3 linked regions of the Callithrix jacchus genome follow. Each later gene encodes a partner of the first gene's protein in a complex. Links are inferred from orthologs where the notes say so. Each region holds a gene or a part of one and is shown in the gene's direction. Other genes may lie near its edges.

Region 1 (6,421 bases):
TCCCTTTCTCCCCACTTTTAATGTTTTTTTTTCCTTAAATATTCACATAACAGAATAATAAGGCAGACCCGTGTGTTGCCCCACTAGCTGAAGAAATACCTTTTTTTTTTTGAGACAGACTCTCACTCTGTTGCCCGGCTGGAGGGCAGTGGCGTGATCTCGACTCACTGCAATCTCCGCCTCTTGGGTTCAAGCGATTCTCCTGTCTCAGTCTCCCTGGTAGCTGGGACTACAGGCACCTGCCACCATGCTCAGCTACGTTTTGTGTATTTCCTACAGATGGAGTTTCACCATGTTGGTCAAGATGGTCTCAATCTCTTGACTTTGTGATCTGCCTGCCTCAGCTTCCCAAAGTGCTGGGATTATAGGCATGAGCCACTGCGCCTGGGGAAATTTGTTCATTTTTTAATTTTAGAAGTAATCTGTGCTCACCATAAAAATGTCCAAACCCTGCAGAAATATACCACCACCCAGCGGCCTGGTCTCAGCTCGGAATCACCCGTGATGGCTCTTCACAGAGAATGGTGGGGGTGCCACATAAACACAACCGCCTGATGCCATCCTGCAGCCCACATGAGGTCCTTGCAGGGGCTTGGGGCCTTCCCTTTTGTCCAGAGCTGCCCAGAGTTGGCTGGTCAGAGACCTTTTCAGCCCATCTCTGTTTGACCCCAGTATCTCTGTGCATCAGTCACGTATTCATTATCATTATTAACTCTGCTTCTTCCAGAAACTGGACGGGAGGTCCCTGATCAAGCTGAACTTTGCCAAGAACAGTGAAGGTGAGTGGAACCGTTGGGGCCAACTCTAGGCTTGGCTTGCCGACGACCCAGGCTCCTGGCTCTCACCAGGTCTCATATGGAATCAGTCATTCCTTTCTGACCAAGCTGGATACCTGCTTTTAGTCCTCAAAAAGTGTCACAGGATTTCTTCTCAAAGATCTGGGTAGTTTTAGGCTGGAGATGGGAGGGGGCAGAATCTTGGGTGTTGGGAACTTTCCACAAAGGTGATTGGGCCGTCATGAGCTGCCAGTGGCCTTTGTGGGCATAGTCGGAGTTGCAGGGCATGGGCCTCCTCTGGCTGAGGCTGTGGTCTGTTTGGAGGCAGAAGTTGCTCTGCACTGGGAACTAGGGCAGCAGCTGGGGAGGGAATGTGGTGGTCTGGAGGGATTTGTCGGGTAGCTCTCAGGCTGGGCGTTTCCTCACTACAGCTCATAGGGCCTAGCCCAGCCCAGCCCAGCTCAGCAGCTCCTGCTTCATGTCCCTTACACACGTTGCGCTGCTCTTGTGGTCAGATTCTTAAATGAGGTACACAGCTCACCCCTGCCCAGGTGCTGACCTTGTCCTAGGTTCTAGCACAGGTCTTCTGCCCTTGCAGATCCCATGATTTAGGGGTTGTCCATGCTCACTGGGTGCATGCATTCCAGGGAGATGCTGTAGCATGTGAGGCCATGGCCCTTTTGCCCCACTTGTCTGAGCCTAGAGCCCGGTTCCTAGCTGATGCTGCGTTCGCAGGTAAATGAGTGAGTGAACTTCAGCATGTCATTGACAAAGGTGGAGGACAGGGAGCTGCACCCTGGTGGCCGAAGGTGGGCTGCCTCCCTGTCTGTGATCAGCAGTGTATGTCTCTCATTCAGCAAATATTTATTGAGTGCCTGCCATGTGCAGAGAGCACAACAGGCTGAGTCTTTGCTGAGAGGAGCATGTGTTCTGGTGGGGAAGAACGCCAGAGAGCAGCTCAGCAGGGTATGCCAGAGGCTGCTTCCGTGTGGAGAGCACAGCAAGGAGAGGGCCGCCCTGACACACTTCAGGGAGGGAGAGCCATGAGAGGCTCAGGGGAGCGCAGGGCTGGGCCGATGGCACAGCCAGTGCAAAGACCCCGAGGTGGGCACATGCTTGAGGGTGTCTGTGCCCAGCCAGGAGTCCAGTATGTCTGGTACAGCATGTGCTAATGATGAAAGCAGGGGATGTGGTGACAGGTTGGGGCAGGGACAGGTGCAGAGCAGTCCTGTGGGCCCTGGGAGCCACAGGAGGACTTGGGCTTCTGCCCAAGATGGGAGCCACTGAGGGAGGGGTGAGGTCTGGCTTTTTTTTTTTTAAACTTTGACATGGCAATTAGCTTCTTTTCTTTTGTTTCCTTTTTTTTTTTTTTTTTTTTTGAAATGGGGTCTCACTCGGTCACCCAAGCTGGAATGCAGTGGTACAGTCTCAGCCCACTGCAATCTCTGCCTCCTTGGCTCAAGAAATCCTCCCACCTCAGCCTCCCAAGTAGCTGGGACTACAGGCACCACCACTGCACCCAGCTAATTTTTGTGTTTTTTGTAGAGACAGGGTTTTACTGTTGGCCAAGTTTACTCCTGGGTTCAAGCAATCAACTCACCTCAGCCTCCCAAATGCTGGGATTACAGGCCAGTCTGCTTTGTTTCTTTGTTAATTGGAATTATTCTTCGTGGATGAAAGTGGAGAGAGGAAGTGTGATGTGCCTCCCCTGTGCCCATCACAGACTCCAGCCCCTGCCGCAGACTCCTGCCTGGGCACAGACATACCTTCCCTGGCATTATAGGCATGAGCCACTGTGCCCCGCCCCAGCTAATTTTTTTTATTTTCATTTTTGTAGAGATGAGGTCTCCCTAAGGGCTCAAGTCCCCACCCAGTGGGGACTTAACAGGCAGAGAGACAGTAACCAAGGCTTGGGAGGCTAAGGTAGGCAGATGGCTTGAGGTCAGGAGTTCCGGACCAGTCTGGCCAACATGGTGAAACCCTGTCTCTACTAAAAATACAAAAATTAGCCATACGTGGTGACGCATGCATGCCTGTGGTCCCAGCTACTTGGGAGTCTGAGGCAGGAGAATCACTTAAACCCCGGAGGCAAAGGTTGCAGTGACCTGAGATCACGCCACTGTACTCTAACCTAGGTGACACAGCAAGACTCCATCTCAAAACTGAACAAAACAAAAAAAGAGACAGTAGCCGGGCAAGGGGATGGGCAGTTCTGAAGGAAGATCTGAGCAGGGGGTTGGCGGGGAATGCGGGTAAGAGGTGGAGCCGTCAGGACTGGAGCATGGGTTGTTTCTTGCTGAGGGCCAACTTCAAGAAGAGGAGGAGACTAGCATGGCGGTCAGCAGAGGTGTGCTGGAGGATGTGAGGAAGATGCTGCAGGGACTGGGCCTTGCGGGATGAATAGGAGTTTCCTAATGATATGGAGGGGCTTGAGGGGCTAAGCAGCTGTCCCCTTGGTTCCCTACTCTGGCAGTTGACGGGGTTCCACCTCCTCCCATCGCTAACTTTGGCCGCGTTCTGTCCTGACTTGTCCTGGCCCCAAGTGCCCACAGAGGTGACTGGCCTCCCCGTGTGTGCCTTCTCTCTAGGGAAGTACCACTGCCCAGTGCTGTTCACCGTGTTCACCAACAACACCCACATCGTGGCTGTGAGGACGACCGGCAACGTCTACGCCTACGAGGTGTGTCCTTGCTCCAGGGCCTGGAGACCACGGTGGGGAGATCTCTGCTGTGTGTTCCCAGGATACATGGGCTGGGCTGTGCTGCGGGCATGGCCTGTCTTTGTGGGGTTTACAGTCACAGCCACAGGCACCGGCCTCTGCCAAAGCTCTGGCATGACAGCCTCCCAGATTTCAGGCAGGTCAAGAATAGGGTTGGGGGAGCTGCATCCTTTGGAATCAGGCAGTCCTGGCTGGCAAGCAGGGACCCTTATCTCGCAGGGGGTCCTTCTGCATCTTCAGCAAAACCTAGGTGCTGGGAAGGCACCGTGCTCTGAGAACGGTGTGAGAGGAGTGCTGGCCCTGGCTCTCGATGGAGCCAGTTGTGTCCAGGAAGGAGCTGTCCCCTGGAGGAGTTCTGTCTGGGAGTGGGTGTAGGAAGAGAGGAGGCAGCCATGTTCACACATGGGTCCTCCTCTCAGGGGTGAGGCGGGACAGGCCCTATGTGGCAGGAAAGCCCCGACCTTTGTGCCATTTTCAGTCCTGCACCAGGACATTGGTGGAGTATAGGTGGCCAGCGCTGCTCCAGGGACCTTAGGGGCTACTTCTTGCCAGAAGCCTACATAGACTGGCATGGTTGGTCCTCGTAGTGGATTGAGGACTCTGCTATACTGGGCCCCAGGAGTGCAGGCATCTCATGTGCACAGCCCCTGCCCACAGGCCTGGCACCATGCCTGTGCATGGGAAGTAGTCAGTGAAGGCTTCAGCGAGTGGGTGGGTGGCTCGCCCAGCCACTTTGCTGATCAATATGTAGACAAGAGCTTCCTGCAGGAAGGTTGCTGCAAGGCTGAACTGGCACATCGTCTGATGCCCAGCCAGCTCCGCCTTTGTGGGGGCCACTGCTTTCAATCAGTGGGGTGAACACTGCTGTCTCTCTCGTTCCTCGCCTCTCAAATGGTGTCATGGTGCCAGTTCTGGGCCTCCCTGCTCGCAGGCTCCTGTGCCAAGGCTTGGGGCATGCATCGTAACACCACTTCTTCCTGGCTGTAGGCAGTGGAACAGCTAAATATCAAGGCCAAGAACTTCCGGGACCTGCTAAGCGATGAGCCCTTCTCCCGGCAGGACATCATCACCCTCCAGGTGAGTGTCCCCTGCCCACCTGCCCCAGCTGCCTTCAGTGTCCACAGCCAGCCCAGGCCTCTGCAGGGGCCACCTCCGTAGCCTGGCTCTCACATCTCCCTGATCCCCGACCCCCATGTCAGGGCCCCTCATACCTGTCCCCAAAGCTACCTGAGGCATCTGAATGGCCATTCTGCTGGCCTGGTTCTGTTCCAGTGCCTTGAGGGCTGGAACCGTGGTGAGCTATGGGCCTCGGTGTCTGGCACAGACCTCCCTGCAGATATCAGAGAACCCCAAGTGAATTAATGAAAAACACGACTTAGAAAAAAGCAGGTGATGGCTAGAGTGCGGCCTGGGGCAGCCTGCTCAGTCGGTCACCTCTGTGGCTTGTCCCATTCTAACCAGACGTCAGCCCCATGGCTGCCCATGTTCCTATCCAGTAGCTTCCTAACAGTGACCAACAGCTCGTTAGAGTGTGCCTGGAGGAAGGTCGCAGCTCGGCCAGCACCTAGCAAGGCTATGCCCCTGTCCCTGCTCCTGCTTATTGCCCTGCCTGGGGCAGACCACCATCCTCCCCCATGCCCTGCTTGACTCCCCCTACCTCTGACACCTGCCCGTCCTTTGCTACATGTGGCTGCCATTTGGCCGCAGGCTGGGTTCACTCTGCTGGGTGTTCTCTCTTTGCCACAGGACCCCACCAACTTGGACAAGTTCAATGTCTCTAACTTCTATCATGTTAAGAATAACATGAAAATAATAGACCCAGGTATGTACAACCAGGGGCTGGGCTAGGTGAGGAGGCATTTGGGGGAAATTGGGACAGTGTTCCCTGGGCAAAGCCCCCAGCTTCCTGGGAGTCAGGGGTTCCAGCCCAGATAAATCCTGCATTTTCTAAGCCAGTGTTCAGAGAATCCGAGTCAACTGCAGCCTCAGAAACAACATGTGGGATAGACTTGCTGCCCTGCCAGGATGCCTGCGCAGGTTCCCCTGCTTTCTGCACTGTCTGGTGCCTTCAGTGGGCAGGTGGTGGGGTGACAGGGTCCTCCTGTTTTCCTAGCCACTGGTGGCTGTCCTGTAACCTCGGAGGAGCCAGCAGGACTCATGCTCAGAGGTCACTTGGCCTCGTGCTGCAGAGCAGTGGCCTGGGTACTTGACAAGAGTTGTGTGAACTGGGTTTTAGGGAGGCTGAGCACATGACTGGGGGAGATTGAGTCAGAAGAGTCTGAGGCCAGGGTTTGGGGCTGGGCTGGGCCTGTATTCTCTGGACAGGAATGCCTGACCCTCTCCACAGAGCAGGCTGCTGTCCAAGGCCCAGTAGGCAGGAGGCACCCTCTTGAGTGGGCAAGAATGGGGCATTTCACATCTGAAAAGACCCACAAACATTTCTGTTGTTTTAATTAAAAATACCTTTTATTTTTGAGACGGAGTCTTGCTCTGTAGCCCAGGCTGGAGTGCAGTGGTGCAATCTTGGCACACTGCAACCTCTGCCTCCCGGGTTCAAATGATTCTCCTGCCTTACCCTCCCAAGTAGCTGGGACTACAGGCAGATGCCACCAGACCTGGCTCTTTTTTTGTATTTTTAGTAGAGACAGGGTTTCACTGTGTTAGCCATGCTGGTTTAGATCTCCTGACCTGGTGATCCACCTGCCTCAACCTCCCAAAGTGCTGGGAATACTGGCATGAGCCACTGTGCCCGGCCCCAAAATAACTTTTAAAATTACAGGGCCGGGCGCGGTGGCTCAAGCCTGTAATCCCAGAACTTTGGGAGGCCGAGGCGGGTGGATCACGAGGTCAAGAGATCGAGACCATCCTGGTCAACATGGTGAAACCCCGTCTCTACTAAAAATAAAAAAAATTAGCTGGGCATGGT
Region 2 (5,484 bases), on another chromosome or scaffold:
AACCCAGGAGGCGGAGGTTGCGGTGAGCCGAGATCGCGCCATTGCACTCCAGCCTGGGTAACAAGAGCTAAACTCCGTCTCAAAAAAAAAAGTTCTCCAATGTGTATTCTAAGGAACACTGGTATTCCGGAGATGTTACTTAGTGTTTCAAGAAAAGGAGAATTTTGGCCAGGCACAGTGGCTCATGCCTGTTATCCCAGCACTTTGGGAGGCCGAGGCAGGTGGATCACTTGAGGTCAGGAGTTCAAGACCAGACTGGCCAACATGGTGAAACCCCATCTCTACCAAAAATATAAAAAATTAGCTGGGTGTGTGACGTGTGCCTGTAATCCCCAGCTACTCGGGAGGCTGAGACAGGAGAATCGCTTGAACCTGGGAGGCAGAGGTTGCAGTGAGCCGAGATCATGCCACTTCACTCCAGCCTGGGTGACAGAGTGAGACTCCGTCTTAAAAAAAAAAATGGTGGGGGCTGGGTGTGGTGGCTCTTGCCTGTAATCCCAGCACTTTGGGAGGCTGAGGCGGGTAGATCACAAGGTCAGGAGATCGAGACCATCCTGGCTAACATGATGAAACCCTGTCTCTACTAAAAATACAGAAAATTAGCCAGGCATGGTGGTGGGCACCTGTAGTCCCAACTACTCAGGAGGGTGAGACAGGAGAATTGCCTGAACCTGTCGGGAGGGTGAGAGAGGAGAATTGCTTGAACCCAGGAGTTGGAGGTTGCAGTGAGCTGAGATCATGCCACTGCACTCCAGCCTGCGTGACAGAGTAACACTCGAAAGAAAAAAAAGAGAGAGAGAGAGAGAGAGAGAGGAGAAGAGAAGAGAGAAAGAAAGAAAGAAAGAAAGAAAGAAAGAAAGAAAGAAAGGGGGAGAGGGAGGGAGGATGTGTTTTTGTTTTTTTTTTTGAGATGGAGTCTCACTCTGGAGTGCAGTGGCATAGTCTTGGCTCACTGCAACCTCCATCACCTGGATTCAAGTGATTCTCCTGCCTCAGCCTCTGGAGTAGCTGGAATTACAGGTGCTTGCCACCATGCCCGGCTAATTTTCTGTATTTTTAGTAGAGATAAGGTTTCACCATCTTGACCAGGATGGTCTCAATCTCTTGACCTTGTGATCTGCCCACCTCAGCTTCCCAAAGTGCTGGGATTGCAGGCGTGCGCCACCGTGCCCAGCCGAATTTTGTGATTTTTAAATAAAGTTTGGGAAATGGCACTTTGTAATTCTACTTGAAGAATAGTAAGTTTTTTTTTTTTTTTTTTTGAGACGGAGTTTCACTCTTGTTACCCAGGGTGGAGTGCAATGGCGCGATCTCGGCTCACCGCAACCTCCGCTTCCTGGGTTCAGGCAATTCTCCTGCCTCAGCCTCCTGAGTAGCTGGGATTACAGGCACGCACCACCATGCCCAACTAATTTTTTGTATTTTTAGTAGAGATGGGGTTTCACCATGTTGACCAGGATGGTCTCGATCTCTTGACCTCGTGATCCACCCGCTTCGGCCTCCCAAAGTGCTGGGATTACAGGCTTGAGCCACCACACCCGGCCCAATAACAGTATATTTTAAGTATATTTTAAAAATGAGGTCAGGAGTTTGAGACCAGCCTGACCAAAATGGAGAAACCCCATCTCTATTAAAAATACAAAATTAGCTGGGCATGGTGGCACATAGCTGTAATCCCAGCAACTTGGGAGGCTGAGGCAGGAGAATTGCTTGAACCCAGGAGGCGGAGGTTGCGAAGAGCTGAGATTGCGCTGTTGTACTCCAGCCTGGGCAATAAGAGCAAAACTCTGTCTCAAAAAAAAAAAACCTAAAAATGTTTATGCTAGCCTTTCTCAAATTCATGATTCTAAAATCCTTTGTAGGCAGAACTTATTAATATCTTGAGAAATAGAGTCATACAGTTTAAGAAGCACAGTTTTAAGCGGTTGGGAGTCATAGGAGAGTTGGCCCTTTCAGCCTTACTGCTTTTACAGACTGTTCTTCTCTACCTAGACCAGAAGCCCCTGGTCCCTCTGTCTCCCTTTCCCCTATGCCACCCTCAGAGGTCGAACTCCAAAGTGGGAAGATCAGTAGGGAACCTGAGCCTGGGGCTGGCCCACAGGCCGAGGAGTCAGCAACTGTCTCAGCCCCTGCACCTGTGAGCCCCACAAGAAGACGAGCCCTGAACCATTATCTCACCCTTCGAAGGTGAGTGTGCCCAATCAGTTTCCTCAGATTTTCTTTTCTCTCTGACCGTCTATTTTTCAAAGGTATTCAATTTAATTTTTCTTATTTTTGGTCTTTTTTTTTTTTTGAGACGGAGTTTCGCTGTTGTTACCCAGACTGGAGTGCAATGGCACGATCTCGGCTCACTGCAACCTCCACCTCCTGGGTTCAGGCAATTCTCCTGCCTCAGCCTCCCGAGTAGCTGGGATTACAGGCGCGCACCACCATGCCCAGCTAATTTTTGTATTTTTAGTAGGGACGGGGTTTCACCATGTTGACCAGGATGGTCTCGATCTCTTGACCTCGTGATCCACCCGTCTCAGCCTCCCAAAGTGCTGGGATTATAGGCATGAGCCACCGCACCCGGCCTAGTCTTTTTTTTTTTTTTTACTTCTATTTTTGTTTTTTATCTTTGGTTCCATTTTGTTTTAGCCACCCAACTTACATGACTCTCAATTTTTTTCTCACCACTAACTATTTTGCTAGAGACAGGGTTTCACCATGTTGGTCAGGCTGGTCGAACTCCTGACCTCAGGTGAGCCACCCACCTCAGCCCCCCAAAGTGCTGGGATTACAGGTGTGAGCTCACCACTGACTTCTTAATGAGCCTCTTTCCTGATCAATGCCATTTTCTCTGATCTTTTCAGCTCTGGATGGATCCCAGATGGAAGAGGTCGATGGGTAAAAGATGAAAATGTTGAGTTTGACTCTGATGAGGAGGAACCACCTGATTACCCCTTGGACTGACAGCCTTTTCCCATTCATTCACAAATAAACTGCAGGGGGTGCTGAGAACTTAACTTTCCTGAAGTCTGGTTTCTTGTCGGATCTCAGGATTTCAGATCTGTTCATTCTCATTCTGGCTATTGCTTTCCTGCAATGTACACAGCTCTCCATACTTCTAACCCCTCCCCCATCTTCTACCAAAGCCATGCCAGGCGTCAGCTGCGTCAGCCCGGTGCCCTATTAATAAGACTGTCTAAAAGAGGTCTTTGCCCTTCATGTTGTCTGCCTCCTTCTCCACTACCATTTAAAGTCCTTTCCCCTTCAAATCACATGAAGACTGTGGGTAGGCACCGGGGGCACCTGGCCACATCTGGAAACAGGGCTGAGGCTAAGTACCCTGAGAATGTAGAAGAGTCTAAAGGCATTGGCAAGGTTATGGGGAACACCAAGGGAGGGAGCTCCCCCACCTCCTACTGGTAACCTGAACTTCCCTGCCTGATGATCCCCAGAGTATAAATAATCCCCTGGTGAATTGGCAGTAACCCTTGGGGGTTAGCGCCAAGATTCCCACCGAAAGCCCAAGGAAGGAGGCAGGCAAAATGGACAGAAGGGCTTTTATTTACAGGAAAGGAGGACAGATGAGGATTTAAGTGTCCAGTGCTCCCAGCTCTGGTTGGCAAAGGGAAATGCAGTGTTATCTCTTCTTTTGCTGGCGACCTGTAAAGCAGGAAGATTAACCCTAAGTGTTGGTTCCAGCTCCTGCTTTCTGCAAAGACTCTTCTCCTTTCCAATCCCTTAGCCAAACTTATAAATTGGTAGTGTCTTAGGCCACCTTACAGGCCCATCCCACATAAACAAAACAAACCAAACCACACCACAAACGAAATGATGATACCTCTAAACATGTATTCCTATCTCTAGCATTCTTTCTCCCTCTAGGTGGAGTTTTCTGTCTCCTTTCTGATCACTGTTGAGATTTGAACTTTGCATGTGAATACCTCTTTGGAAGCACCCTGGGCTGTTAGTCTTTAGGTCTGCTTTCAGGAGGACCCGCCCATTTCTGCACTTCCCCGCCCACCCCACACATCGTGTCTGCAGTTACTCACGTAGTTCATTGTTTCGGGTCATGGCCTGGGCTGCCCGAGCACGTGGACCCTGTTGCGTGAAGTGGTAGCCGAAGCGGACAATGGAGGGACACTGCTCTAGCACGGTGGCCATCTCCATCTCCACCGCATCACCCGGCCACTGGCGCTGGGGGAGGGACAGGCAAAAGCTGACAGTCACCCTCTCTGGGCTGTTTACCATCCCAGACCACAGATCCCTTTGGGAAGTCAAAGAGGCTTGTTTCTCCACAGTAGGTGAAGAGAGATGCTGACTTGGCTTCCCTCATGCAGACAATGAAGAGAATTCAAACGAGATGAAAAAAGATAGCTGCCTCAGTGGCTGCCTCGGTGTGGAAACTCAGTGAGACTGAATGCTAGCATCAGGGGAAGGGAATACTGACCTGATTGTCTACACGGAGCTCAGTGAGTGTGGCATTTTCCCGAACTGCCTTCAGCACAGCCATGAGTCCTGTGCTGCTAATGAAGTTGGATTCGATGTTTAGGCTCTGGAGGCTACGATTCTCACGCAACATGTCAGCCACTGCCTGGGTAGTAGGGACTTGGGTTAGGATTAGGGAACAGTGTCACAGATGACTGAGGAGAGAAAGAACAGGAGCAAGAGGGAAACACAAACTCTGAGAAGAGTCCTTGAGCTGTAAATGGGGCTACAGGGATACAGAAAGCAAGGGGGATAGCAGTGGAAAGTAGGGAGATTCATGTGCTGTTAGAGAGACTGGGGCTTTTAGAGAGGTTGAGAGTTATGAGCCATGGCACTGAGGGTAGGAGTCTCCCTGAGGGCTGCCCTAAGAAGGCTGATGAGAATAGCACTCCCTAGCAACACCCTTGATGAGTCCCGCAAGGGGTGCCTGGGAGATGTGGGGAGAGGGCTGGGGATGCCAACTAGCCTTACATTGGCGATGGGGTCACCACTCCTCGTGGCTACCAGACTGAAGCTCCGCACATAGGTATTTGTCTTCATTGCCTCGCACAGCTCGCTTAGCATGGCTATCGGGATGTCCTACCAGAGGGGAACAGGATGGTGGGCTAAGGGGCTCGGGTGTCAGCAGGTATCTGGCATTCTGGTTTGGAGGATGGGAGTCAAATACCTGTATATTGTTGAGGTTCACCTCCTCCAGCTCCTTGTCATTGCTTCGGACCCTCTTTAGCATCTCCTCAATGTTTGTGGGATTTGGGGGTTCATCCGGCACTGGCTTATACTTGTCAGGCTGTACCACACCTAGTGAGAGCAGGAGGGGAACCCCAACATGTTCCCCATAATCTCCTCCCCATTGGTTTTCTTTTCTTTTTTTCTCTCTTTTGAGATGGAGTCTTGCTCCATCCACCCAGGCTGGATTGCAGTGGCACAATCTCAGCTCACAACAGCTTCAACCTCTCAGGTTCAACCGATTCTTGTGCCTCAGCCTCCCAAGTATAATATCTGGTACTACAG
Region 3 (5,264 bases), on another chromosome or scaffold:
GAAATTCTGCTTGGCCAGGCACTGTGGCTCATCCCAAAGTGCTGTGGCTCAATCCCGGCACTTTGGGAGGTCGAGGCGGGCAGATCACGAGGTCAGGAGATTGAGACCATCCTGGCTAACATGGTAAAACCCTGTCTCTACTAAAAAATACAAAAAGTTAGCTGGGTATGATGGTAAGCACCTGTAGTCCCAGATGCTCGGGAGGCTGAGGAAGAAGAATTGCTTGAAACCGGGAGGCAGGGTTGCAGTGAGCTGAGATCGCACCACTGCACTCCAACCTGGGCTACAGAGAGAGACTGTCTCAAAAAAAATTGTTCTAAGGTGACGACGATGTATTACAGATTTTGTTTTAGTTTTTTATTTTATTTATTTGTTTTTGAAACAGTCTTGCTCTGTTACCCAGGCTGGAGTGCAGTGGCACAATCTCAGCTCACTGCAACCTCTGCCTCCCCGGTTCAAGAGATTCTCCTTCCTCAGCCTCCCAAGTAGCTGGGATTACAGGCACGTACCACGACGTCCAACTCATTTTTGTATTTTTAGTAGAGATGGAGTTTCACCATGTTGGCCAGGCTGGTCTTGAACTCCTGACCTCAGATGATCCACCCACCTCAGCCTCCCAAAGTGCTGGGATTACAAGCATGAGCCACCGTGCCCAGCTTTGTTTTACTTTTTTACATTTAAGAAATGGAAAAAAGCACATTAGCCATTGAACTGAGAAGGAAAGGGATTTGTGCCCACTTTCAGAAAGCTGGGCTGTGGCAGGCTGGAGCAGGCAGGAAGGCCTTTCTGAAAGCTTGAGAGGGCAGGAAGCTGGAATGGGCTTTGGATCCCTTGTACTGGGGCAAGCTTCTCTCTGGCCTGGGTCCCTTCCTGGGGCTCATGGGCTGGGGAGCTGGGAGGAAGGCTGAGGCTGCAGCATACAGATTCTTCCTTATTCTCCCACAGGAGGCCTGTGCAACCTGTGCCCAGACAGGGCCAACAAGGAACACATCCTGCAGGCAGGAGGCATCCCTCTCATCATCAACTGCCTGTCCAGCCCCAACGAGGAGACGGTACTGTCTGCCATCACCACGCTCATACACCTGAGCACACTGGGCCCCAGCCGCCCCCCAGAGCTGACTGCCGCACCCGTGGTGCAGTGCATGCTGCGCTTCTCCCTCTCAGCCAGTGCCAGGCTCCGGAACCTGGCGCAGATCTTCCTGGAGGACTATTGCTCCCCTAGCCAGGTGGCCGAGGCCCACAGCCGGCAAGCGCACTCTGCCCTGGGTATCCCACTGCCTAGGAGCGTGTCCCCACAGCAGCGCTGATCCATGGAGACCTTGAGACTATAGCACTCCTACTGCTGGAGACCACGGGCCTGGTGTGGACACAGGGCACAGGGGGAGGACATGCTGCCCAAGTGGTGCCTTTTCGGCCATTGGAAAGGCGAGTTCTTTCAGCAGGACAGGTATTTACACTGTGATGAAATGCCATTCAGTTAAGGAAGCCAGACTCAGAGACACATGAAGAAACTGGAGCTGCTTCCATAGGCCTGCACTCAACCCTATGTCCAGTGCCACCACTGCCAGGCGGTAGTGTAAGCAGCAGCTACGTGGTGCAGTGGCTCACGCCAGTAATCTCAGCACTTTGGGAGGCCGAGGCAGGCGGATCATGAGGTCAAGAGATTGAGACCATCCTGGCCAACATGGTGAAACCCTGTCTCTACTAAAATAAAAGAATTAACCAGGCATGGTGGCACACGCCTACAGTCCCAACTACTCGGGAGGCTGAGGCAGGAGAAATGCTTGAACCCGGTAGGCAGAGGTTGCAGTGAGCTGAGATTGCGCCACTGCACTCCAGCCTGGCGCCTGGTGATAGAACAAGACTGTATCTCAAAAAAAAAAAAAGCAGCCACATGCCCAGACCCAGAGGCTTTGCAGGACAGTGTTCTCAGCAACTGGGACTGACGCTTAAGAGAGCTACCTTCATAACAGAAAATAGGGGATTAACCTTAACAGAAGTGTCCGGAGTAGTTCTCAGGGACAGGAATGAGATGCCTCACGGTGAAAGGATCTCACCCTGGGAAGGTGTGGTGCCTCCCTTGAGGGCTGTGGAGGACGGATACCTCCCCCAGGGGCTCTCCAGGCCGGGCATTTGGGTGTGGGGATGCCAACCTGGATAACCTGTGGCCCAGCATGAATCATCTGCCCAGTCCTGCTTTCTGCCAGGCACCACATAAGGGACTCCAAGATGATGGGGGTCCCTGCCCTTGAGTGACATGGCCCAGTGACTTCATGTGGCCATCAGGCATCAAGAAAAGGCCATGGGAGTGATGACACATCGGAATGGAGGCATAACCCTGGGGAGCTGCATCTTTCCCCCTCACCCTCCTCCTACGCTGTCATACTCAGTGATGGGGAGCCCCTACCCCAGAAGTACATCTCGTGAGGGCATCAGGGACGCAGTGAAAGAGTGGTGCTCAAGGGAGACAGGAAGAGACAGCAACATAAAGGATGTGGCTCCATGTGCGCGATGTGCCCTGGTCAACAGAAGGTACGTGGGACCCGATGGAAAGCTGGAGCTCAGGGAAAATGGGGGGTTCTTGCCTCTTGTGTACCCCTTCAAGGCTGACCCCTTAGATGGCCCAGGACTGGCAAGTGCTACAGGAATGGTATCCACAATGGGGGTGGAAATGGGGTAGATTCGGGGGCCACTGGACTCAGAGGGAAGGGCAGGGCTCATCAGCATCCACCCAGGGAACCTGTCCCTTTACACTCCCAAATAAAGCATCCTAGAAGACTAGAAAGCCAAGGTCTTTTATTAAAAGGGTCCTGACTAGTTTTCCCACCCTATTTGCATGCCAGCCAGGGTCCAGGGGCAGCCTCTCGGGAGGTACCAGGGGCTGGGCCTGTGGCCTGGCAACACAGAGGTTATGGTGTCTACCTGCTCCATTCCACGGGGCCAGCGACCAGCACAATGCCACCCTGACTCGGCTCTGCGGTGGCCCCTGCGGGCCTGCCCTTCAGCTTCAGCCGCTGCCCGCGGCATCCCTCTCATTCCCTCTGCGCAGCTCCTCGCTTGCTGTCTAAGATCTCCCTCCAGTTGTCACTCCAGGAGAGCAGCCGTCTCCTTGTTGGGGGCAGGACCAGGTGCCGATTGTGGCAGCAGGTGAACAAGATGTGCTCCCAGCTTGGGGTCTCCTCATGGCCTAGGACAGGAAAGGCAGCCCGCTGTCATCTGGTTATTTTTACTCCCCCTCCCTACTCCGGGTAGGCCAGAGGCCTGAAGGCTGCCAAAGATGACGGATCCAACCTCGAATTGTGTCCTTGTCATCAATGAGCAGGTCCCCCAAGACCACCGTCTTGTCCCTTGTCAGGATAATTCGCTCTAGGAACTGGGGCCCCAGGTGCTGCTCCACCCAGCGGTACTGTGTAAGAGACACAGGTCTATCAGTAGGGCCTGATGGGAGCCGGAATTCAGGGGCAAGGAGTGGGGCCTAAGCCCTTGAGAGCCCGCCCCCCACCCCCAACCTTCTAGTTCTAGTGGTTTCTTTTTAAAATCAGGATTTAGGCAGCTCCATGTGCGGTGGGGGGCCGGGCAGCCACACCTTCTCACCCACACAGTGGTCGTACTTCAGCAGGGGACTGGTGCAGATGAAGACCTCCGTGCTACGGAGGAGGAGGACGTGGTCACTGCTGGGAGCCGGGAGTCCGAAGCCCACCCAGGCCTCCGCCCGCCCTCGCCCTCCTTACTCCGGCAGGTCGTTCATCTCCCGCACGGCGTCCAAGGCCCCCGGGATGGGCTCCAGGTCCAGGAAAAAGCCTGGGGCTTCGTACACACTGGCCACTTTGTCCTGAAAGACAAGAGATCTGAGTCCCGGTTTCTGCCTCTGACAGAGCCAGCTCCAGCGAGGACTCGCAGGGAGCTTCCTAGGGGCTCCGGGCTCCGGCTCAGGGCTGCGGAGGGGGCTTCGCTCAGGGGCACGCGCCCAAAGACTCCTCCCCAGGGTGCGCTGCCCGCGGGTTCTGGGGTGAGAGCTCTGCTCCATTCACACAGAAGAGGTGGCCCCGCGAACGGTGGTAGCCGGCCCTGCCCGGGTGGGGACCCCGCGCCCCCTACCGCCAGGTCGGGCCGCAGGGCGCGGTACTGCTCGCGGGCCAGGAAGCCGCGGCGCTGCTCCAGCGGCACGTGCGGCTCCCCGGGGAAACGGTCGCGAAAGCCCCGCAGGAGGCCGGTCTCGAAGTCAGCCAGGACGCCGTCCATGTCCACCAGCACGCGTACGCGCCGCGCCATCGCCGCCAGGCAGGGACTGCGGGCTCGTAGGGGCACCAGCCCGGCCGGAAGCGCGGGGAGGAAGGGGGAGGGAGAGCAGCTTCCGGAGCCGCGACGCTAGGCGGGGCCGCCGAGTTTATTTGCATAGAACGCTGGGCCCTCGTAGACTGGTGCCATTGCAGGTGGCCTTAAAGTTACGTGAGGCCTTCCTAGGGCCAGGGTGCAGGGACGGCTCTGAGGGGTCTTTTTCTGACCCTGCGATTCTCGTACTCAGCCTTTGTCCCCATCAGCCGCCTCCCAGTTTACAGCAAATGTTCCCCACATTACTAGTAGGGGACCGACCTTCCAGGGGTGCAACAAAGGGGTGCCCTGAAATACTGGGAAGCGCCGAGCGCGGTGGTTCACGCTTGTAATCCAGCACTTTGGTAGGCCGAGGCGGACTGATCACCTTAAGTCGGGAGTTCGAGACCAGCCTGACCGATAAGAAGAAACTCCCATTTACTAAAATACAAAAATTAGCTGGGCACGGTGGCGCATGCATGTAATCCCAGCCACTCGGGAGGCTGAGGCAGGAGAATTGCCAGTCTGGCAGACAGAGAGAGACTCCATCTCAAAACAAAAAATAAAATGGGAGTTTCAAGCTTGATCCTGTAAAGATGATTTTGATCAGGTACAAGTAATCAGGACTGTCCTCAGGACTTTATGTAGAACTAACATTGCTTACTGGCATTTTCTTTCTTTCTTTCTTTCTTTTTGAGACGGAGTTTCGCTCGTTACCCAGGCTGGAGTGCAATGGCGCAATCTCGGCTCACCGTAACCTCCGCCTCCTGGATTCAGGCAATTCTCCTGCCTCAGCCTCCTGAGTAGCTGGGATTACAGGCACGCGCCACCATGCCCAACTAATTTTTTTGTATTTTTATTAGAGACGGGGTTTCACCATGTTGACCAGGATGGTCTCAATCTCTTGACCTCGTGATCCACCCACCTCGGCCTCCCAAAGTGCTGGGATTACA

Evidence for each region. Proteins that work in one complex are often made in the same cells at the same time.
Region 2: PPIL2 (region 1) and SCNM1 share a complex: the UniProt entries of both Homo sapiens proteins name them as parts of the minor spliceosome. The link is inferred for Callithrix jacchus from reciprocal best matches to the Homo sapiens genes PPIL2 and SCNM1.
Region 3: PPIL2 (region 1) and ARMC7 share a complex: the UniProt entries of both Homo sapiens proteins name them as parts of the minor spliceosome. The link is inferred for Callithrix jacchus from reciprocal best matches to the Homo sapiens genes PPIL2 and ARMC7.

The regions. Positions count from the first base shown.
Region 1 is NC_133502.1:193,647,512-193,653,932, forward strand, and holds part of PPIL2 (RING-type E3 ubiquitin-protein ligase PPIL2), read left to right. Parts: intron 1-727; coding exon 728-779; intron 780-3,364; coding exon 3,365-3,456; exon of another isoform or gene 3,457-4,476; intron 4,477-4,482; coding exon 4,483-4,572; intron 4,573-4,722; exon of another isoform or gene 4,723-4,825; intron 4,826-5,241; coding exon 5,242-5,317; intron 5,318-6,421. UniProt on the Homo sapiens protein: Has a ubiquitin-protein ligase activity acting as an E3 ubiquitin protein ligase or as an ubiquitin-ubiquitin ligase promoting elongation of ubiquitin chains on substrates.
Region 2 is NC_133519.1:11,062,301-11,067,784, forward strand, and holds the end of SCNM1 (sodium channel modifier 1), read left to right. Parts: intron 1-1,992; coding exon 1,993-2,187; intron 2,188-2,852; coding exon 2,853-2,952; 3' UTR 2,953-3,005; downstream 3,006-5,484. Other genes in the region: TMOD4 (tropomodulin-4), read right to left, coding at 3,626-3,648, 4,038-4,182, 4,436-4,579, 4,945-5,052, 5,141-5,271. UniProt on the Homo sapiens protein: As a component of the minor spliceosome, involved in the splicing of U12-type introns in pre-mRNAs. Plays a role in the regulation of primary cilia length and Hedgehog signaling.
Region 3 is NC_133506.1:131,045,890-131,051,153, forward strand, and holds the end of ARMC7 (armadillo repeat-containing protein 7), read left to right. Parts: intron 1-945; coding exon 946-1,307; 3' UTR 1,308-2,785; downstream 2,786-5,264. Other genes in the region: NT5C (5'(3')-deoxyribonucleotidase, cytosolic type), read right to left, coding at 3,033-3,187, 3,292-3,406, 3,587-3,647, 3,732-3,832, 4,099-4,272. UniProt on the Homo sapiens protein: As a component of the minor spliceosome, involved in the splicing of U12-type introns in pre-mRNAs.